2 linked regions of the Caenorhabditis elegans genome follow. The protein of the gene in region 1 interacts with the protein of each later gene in a pairwise test. Each region holds a gene or a part of one and is shown in the gene's direction. Other genes may lie near its edges.

Region 1 (3,754 bases):
TTGCTTTTCCCTTGCTCTGACCCACGCGACGGATTGCGGATCTTTGTTTCTTTTGACATCTCAACACTCTCTTTTCACTCGTTCTCTTATCTTTCTAGCTCCTACCCAGCATACACATCATCGTACCAACAAATTTGTATGCATGAAGTATCTATTGGACTCCTTGTTTCTGTCCCTTTTCATGATTATACCAGAGGGACCTATCTTTTTGGAAGGAATAAACAACAACAACAAGCCTTTCTTAGTGATGACTAAAAATTTAAGAATGGAACTATTATGTCGTTTAGAGAATTTTCATGTTCTGTTTTTACAATACATAGAGTTTCCGATTTTTTTTACTTTTTCTTTTTGTCTGAAATTTGTTTTTTTTTGTGTTTATTTTGAGAGTAGAAAGCCTGGTTTTGCTAAATTTTCCACCTATAATTTTTAGACAACATTTGAAACGTGCTTTAACTGAAACTGTCTATTTCTCTAATTTTCTCCGTTTCTGTCGCATCGCTACATATGTTTACCCAATTTCCGTGCTGCTTCTTTTCATTTTTCATTGTGCCTTATCGATAGAGAGAAGCAGAGAAAAAGAGCATCTCTCTCACGCAGAGGGAAAAAAGGTTTTTTATCGATAACACACACCGCCCATTACTTTTGATCTTTCCCTTTTTCAAAGTCATGTGGGTTTTTGGTTCTGCTCATAAATGATTTAATCAATACATAGCATGAGTTGAACAGTAGTTAGAAAATGACATCGCTCCTAGGAAGAAGACATTTTCAACTTATAAAATTGTTTGAAAGTTCTATTTTTAAATACAAACACTTAGAGTTGTACAGTACTACAACTGATATCGTTTTTTTTATTTGTATTGCACTACCTAGTATACATAAAACGATAGAAACAGAACAATTATTTTGTCAGTTGACAAAACGACAGAGAAACTGTCAGAATTGAATAATTCGCGAAATAAAAAATAAAGTGTGGTATTGACTGTTTTTTTTTTGAAGATGATGCTGAATTTCCTGATAAAGTTGTCAAAAATGAATGATGTTTAAGATATTTTTGAAGAAACGTTCGGAATAAATTTGTTCTCTAGAATAATTATATAGTTGCTCTCTCAATGATGTAAATCATATTTTGATGACATTTTAGCTTTAAGAAAATTCGCTAATAAATTGGTTGTAATGTTTCTCAAATAAATTTCTCTTGATTCTCCTTCCAATTCTCAATTGTTCCTTTTCTTCGTCTTTTCCAAAGGAACCCCGCCCATTGTTGTCGCCTTTTGGCATGCACAACTAGTTTTCCCTTCAATCTGAATTATTCGATTGGTCAAGCTTCTTTTCTTTTTCTTATTGAATTTAAATTTTTAACTATCAATTTGTTAAATTGAACGGAAAGCTTTGCATTGGAACATCTTATTTTTCGGGGACGTTATTCTTTCATAATCGTTATTTAATTCGTAAATGTTGAACTTTTTCTCTCCGTATGACAAAAATTGACCAAAATGTTGATTGCAGGCCTGTGAAAGATCGATCCGTCGTGCCGTGGTGTGAAGAGAAGTGACGTGAAACGGTCCGAAGGAGGGTATCGTACTGTTTCGCAAAGCTACATCATCTCCACACATAGCCGTTTCCCCGCTTCATCTACGGGTTCATACCAAACCAGAGTAGCTCATTCACTCATTTTTTTGAACAAAAAGGGTTCGTTTTCATTTTCCAACAAAATACATCCGATCCGTCAGTGGCGCCGCGCGCCGAAAAAGGAAAATATATGAGGTATTGGCCTCTCTCTCATAAAAGTCATAAAAATTGAATCGCCATGGTGTCCGCGAGAGAAGGAGAGCCGCGTGAGAGACTAGAAGAGAAATGAAGAAAAAAGGAAAAAAAGGAGCTCAAGAATACAAGTCAGCTGCCCCAAGATACTCGGCTCCGCGCAACTCCACACCATTTCCAGAGTTTCCCTCACTTTCTTACAATTTTGAATTGCAGGTGAAACAAAAAATCAGTCGATAAAAGGAAAAGTCATCATCAATTTTAAATATATAAACACACACAATGGCCTCGACATCGGCAGGACAGAACTCTGCAGCTAAACGTAAGTATTTACTGAATCCTCGTCTGAAACTACCATTGTTTTTATTCTTATTTTTTGCAATTTAAGACTATCGCTAAAATCAGCAAACATTGAGCATTTTTTGAATAAATTTCAAAAAGTTAAATAGTCCATTTTCAATTTTAGTAGGAACTAGAATTTTCATTTTCTTTGATTGGGAAAATACGGGAAAAGAACAATATTTTTTCAAATCAATTTATTTTGAAGTTTGGTTTCCGTTTCACGTTACATACCTTTAAATGTTATCGAAAAATTAGTTGTTGTTTTCCCTCTATCTCCTTTTGCCCCCTCGAAAAATGATTTTAGAAGGAAATAGAGACACAAATCGAATTTGTAGTGTTGTTGTGCATCATCACACACGCAGTCGTCGGGGGCTTCATCCTTTTTCTAGGTGTCTCTATCCGAAAAAATCTAGCGAAAGAAAAATGGATCTCATCTGGAATGCATGAAAAGAACCATTTTTTCAGCTGACACTACCAACACTACCACCACCGCCTCGAACAACAATCGTGAACGCGAACGTGATTTGAAGCAGTTCACCGAACGATTTGTCAAGAGTAAGTATTTGGCTTCTGCAGTCGGGCGGCAGTTTGAAAAAGAAAAACCAATTAAAGTGTTTCTTGCTTCAGGTTACGGAGAAAAGCGCCATGCTCTTTTTTTCTCTTTTTTTTTGCGCAGCACACCACAACCACCCCCATCCACCCTCACATTGGCACACACACATTGAAGAAGCCAGAAATTATACGCGCAGAGAATTTTTTTTTTTGCTTGTCCCGTTGTCGTCGTGAGCTGCAGAGCCGCAGAGAGTTTCTTCTCGTCTATTCTCAGCGCAAACTCTCACTGTCTGACTCACGCGGGTCCGTTGCTCTGAGGAGCTCACCAATGGCTCCGCGTCGGCTCACCAGGCACATAGAAAATATATCGAGAGATAGAGAGTTCTTATTCTCTCTGATTCTCTCTCCGTCATTCTCTTTTTCTATTCGAAAAGATTCTGACGAAGTCGCCGTCATTGGCGTCGTCGTGTGTGTGAGAGAAGACGGGAAGGAAGGGGAGTGAGTGACTGCTGTAGCTTGAAATCGAAAATTAATCCCGAAACGCTTGAGAGGGTTCCCATAGTAATTTAGGAGGGCGGCGGCGGCTCGGGCGCCATGTGGGGAAGATGAGCGTGAGAAGAGCATGGAATTTGAGAAGAATTGAAAAAAAAATAGAAGAAGGGAATAGAAAGATGAAGGAATTCGGAAGTAAAATGGAATAATGAAAACATTATATTTTTTCTAATTTCTCATTTTTCAGCCGTTCAATTTCCTGTTTCCGAACGCCTTACCGTTGATCAGGTCTACGACCGGCGGACTGGAAAACCAAGGCATGAAGTTCTTCGAGATCATTTTATTAAGGTGTGGAATAGATTTTTAAGAATATAATCAAATCAACAATTTTGCAGGAAGGAAGGATAGAAGAAGAAGCCGCGATTCGTGTGATTCAAGAATGCTCAAGCCTGTTCCGCAACGAAAAAACGATGTTGGAAATCGAGGCGCCGGTTACTGTATGCGGAGACATTCATGGTCAATTCTACGATCTCATGAAACTATTCGAAGTTGGCGGATCGCCCGCAACTACCAAGTATCTATTTTTGGGTGACTACGTGGATCGAGG
Region 2 (3,754 bases), on another chromosome or scaffold:
ATGAACTTTTAATTATATTGATTCCAGGAACACAAGAGAGATGAGCATGGATATGTTTGCGCGATTTGTCACGAACGTCACGCGGAATACCCCGAGATGAAACATCACGTGTATGAAGAGCACGGAGGCTACCTGGCAGCAGATGAGCCGACAGGTATCACTGAAAAACGAATGACAGAATTTTTAAAATTGAATTTTAATTACAGCATACGTGGAGACTCCGCGGATGTGGATACTCTACAAAGGCGAGTGAAACTTCTTCATCATCACAGATCTTCATCAAAACTACCACACTTTCATTTGATACATTTTTTTTTCAATTTTTTGTTTGTTTTTGTTTCACTTCCCGATTATGTTAAAAAGGGTTTAATTTTGTCATTTAATGTTGATTGTACTATTACTGTAACACCTCTTACTTTTTTTCAGACCATGGACGTGTTTTAATGTTTTAATCTAGCGTGCTATCAATCATTCAACTTTATTCATGATATACACACAAATAAATCAGGTTACTATATGTAGATATTTTGAAATTTATGACATAGTTCACATTGAATTGCTGAACCTTTCGCTTTTTTGTTTTTTTTTTGCATTTTTGTTACCATGATAACTTACAGGAAATGCTCAGGTGGTAGGACGGTAGCAATCATGAGAAATACAAGTCCTGCCTCCCTTTAGGTTCCCACAACCTTAACGGAAAATATTGGCCACAGTCACTGGCTTGGACGTGGCTTAAAATAAAGCCTAGTGGGAGTACCACCGGGCAGTGTACTTGACTTTCAGATGCGCGGTGCATGGCGCTTCACGTGGTGTGTGGCTGTGCCATCAGGGTTTGATCTACAAAAAATGCGGGAATTTTTTGCCTTTAAAAATTTGACGAGAACTCTGCGTCTCACCTCCCGCATTTTTTGTAGATCTACATAAAGCAAACCAAAATGGGACAATCTAACACCACGTGGTGCTTGAAGAACGGATCAAACTTGAATCCTTCAATGTTTTTAATTTCAAGTATTTTTAATTGGAAAAGTTATAGTTCCATTGGCATTTTTTATTTTAGAGTCCTAACTATCAATCAACTTTTTTATAACATATACACATATAAGTCAAGTGACTATAATTTGAAATTTATTACAATGCTCATATACAAATGCTGAATGATTTTTATCATTATAAAAACTACGTGAATTAATTTGTTGGTGGTTTAAAAGTTTATTTTCTTGAACTTGCTCAAGCAGTGCGATCTCCGCCGCCCGGTTGAGCTCCTCAAGGCATTGTATGAGTCAGTGTGAGAGATCAGCAAGAAGCGACGAGAGTTCTTAACGGGACCCGGGCACGCGTGGAGAAAGAGAGAGACGCAAATCCGAGACATTGAGAAAAAGAGACAGTGGTCGCTGGACGGGTGCGTTTTTCCTGTGTATGTGTGTCTGTTTGTGTGTGTGTGCGTGTGTGCGGGCCCCCCGCTGCCTTAGTCCAAAGTGTGAGAGTGAGAGAGAGGATGGTGGGAGAAGATGGGAAAAAAGCGGCGCGGAAAATCGAGAAACACAGTGCGGGAAAGAAAGCGAATAGGAATTGTGTGCGAGCGCGCCATGGCGGTGAGCGTTATTGAGTGTATTGGAAGGCGAGCGTGAGAGAAGAAGAGACGCCGAGGCGGCGGCGGAGGCGGCGGCAATGAGCGTTAGTGAGTGAGTGGGTGAGTGAGAGCGTGTATGTATGTATATGTGCGTCTGGTGGTAAAACTCTATGCACTCTCTGTTTTAACTTACGACACTATCTTGTCGCATTCAGGCGCCGCCACACCAACACTGCAATGGCTGCGCCACGGCGGCGTATGGGCCTTGAAAAGGTGGGTGTTCTTCTCTCTGTTCCATTCTTTGTTCTCAATTTCCCTTCCCCACACACACAAAACACCCACACTTAATTGAATGGTGCCTAGTTAATTGACTTGTTCGGCGTGCGATTGCACTTTATTTTTTCTCCCCATTCATTTAAGGTCACACAATTTACATAAAATATGTATGTAAAAACATTGCGCAATCTACCGTGAGAAGGTGCGTTTTGTCGTTTTTGTTTCCCGCCATAGAACAGTCTTTTTCTGATTTTATCGTTTAATGCCCAAGCAAATTCCCACGCATCCGTTCGACAGTCGGCAATAAATCAACGAGCGCCGAGAGTTTAACGGCAGAACATAAAGATGGATGCTTGAGAGTTTTTCTTTTTTTTTCGTCCGACAAATTTTTGCACAGCATTTTTGACCGCTTTACGTCATGCAACGTTTTTAGCAAGAAGTTAAAAAAATAAAATAGATTAAAAGTGGAGTAGCGTCAGTTGTGAATTTAAAAAATTGCTATCTCACCACACCACAGTAATCAAATAACAGTTAAAAACATTTTTAAAAAAGTTGAATTTTATGATTTTTTGAAAATTGGAAAAAATCCCAGTTTTCGCCACTTTTTGGAAGTTGTCGATAAAAAAAGGTTTTTAACAAATTCTCCACTGGCGCTACTCCACCTTTAAAACAATGTTCCATAAAAAAACCTGCGTAGTTTTTTTTTTGGAAAAAAAATCATTACTTCCTTTCATGTTAGTTGGTTTCCGATGCGATTATGCAGTTGCATAAAAAATCTTTCCCACATTTTCTAAATTTAAGATTCTCCATTGCATTCGAATTACTATGGAAACAAAGTGCAGATAAACCGTAAAACGTAAAAAGTTTATTTTCTTAAAAATTCAAAATTTCCTTGACGAAGAGTGTTGCAATTTCGATTCTGCCAAAACACAACTTAAACCGATGTTATTGAACTTTCATTGATGGAAAATGTGGTAAAACAGCATATTACACAATCATTTCACGTAGCCAATTGATTTAATTCGAAGTGATAGTAGGACTGTTTGCATGATCAAAGTTTGACAAACTTGTATTCGAATAGATATTTTGCCTGACTAGCAACCCTTCAAATTGCGGTGGTGATGTTCATAATGATGGGAGAGAATGAGTCAAAATGTATTGTTGTCGATTATAATTGGATTTGGTTTTTTGTTCGTCAGTCTGCACGCGCTCCGCATATGGGGGTTAAGAGCAAAACGTGCGTCCGCCTGGTTGAACGATTCTCATTCACAAGAACAAATATTGCTAATATAGTGAATAGTGGAAAGTGTTTTGTACAGAAGGCGAAAAGAAGGAAAACAACTGAAACAGTACCATCATTATTATGTACAAAACAATTCGTTTCAGATAGGCCTGTATGATGTTGGTCGGGCAATTGGCAAAGGCAATTTTGCCACAGTTCGGATAGCGCGGCACAAGATTGCTAAGACTAAGGTTTGTCCGGTTTTATTTTTCAGGTTCAAAAAGTCATGAATCGTTTAGATATCATTGTAAAAGTTAAAAGAAAGGTTTTGAAACTTTACAGTTACAGTCAAAGATATGCTTGAAAGTTCATAAAAAACACTAAGCTTGTGAAAAAATCCCATTTTTTGAAAAGTTGTCAATTTGCATTAGACTTCAAGAAACTTCATTCTGATATAAATTTTTTTTTATCCAGTGCCGCTTTATTAATCTTAAAGTTTTTTATTGAGTGAGTATATAAATTCAAAAAAATTAGGTACTTGTGCAGAATACCTGGCCCAACATAATCAATCGTTTTGAACAATTTTAGAATTTTTTTCCGGAAATTTTTAACTATGAGACAATTTTTGAGCACTTTTTCGGTAGCTTCAAATTAATTAATAGCTATTTTCAGCTTAAAAAAATTTC

Evidence for each region. The genes of interacting proteins can lie anywhere in the genome.
Region 2: the proteins of tax-6 (region 1) and kin-29 interact in binary tests that used the Caenorhabditis elegans proteins (3 or more experiments, as listed by UniProt).

The regions. Positions count from the first base shown.
Region 1 is NC_003282.8:10,499,350-10,503,103, reverse strand, and holds the start of tax-6 (Serine/threonine-protein phosphatase 2B catalytic subunit), read left to right. Parts: upstream 1-2,043; coding exon 2,044-2,083; intron 2,084-2,568; coding exon 2,569-2,658; intron 2,659-2,906; exon of another isoform or gene 2,907-3,185; intron 3,186-3,394; coding exon 3,395-3,495; intron 3,496-3,542; coding exon 3,543-3,754. UniProt on the Caenorhabditis elegans protein: Calcium-dependent, calmodulin-stimulated protein phosphatase. Dephosphorylates arrd-17. Dephosphorylates daf-16 at 'Ser-319' which regulates daf-16 nuclear translocation. Dephosphorylates calcium permeable cation channel pkd-2 at 'Ser-534'.
Region 2 is NC_003284.9:2,850,441-2,854,194, reverse strand, and holds the start of kin-29 (Serine/threonine-protein kinase kin-29), read left to right. Parts: upstream 1-1,674; 5' UTR 1,675-1,807; coding exon 1,808-1,843; intron 1,844-3,232; coding exon 3,233-3,319; intron 3,320-3,754. Other genes in the region: Zinc finger protein tra-4, read left to right, coding at 28-154, 207-253. UniProt on the Caenorhabditis elegans protein: Regulates chemoreceptor expression by phosphorylating the hda-4 class II histone deacetylase (HDAC) and inhibiting the gene repression functions of hda-4 and the mef-2 transcription factor, enabling the correct sensing and transduction of food signals.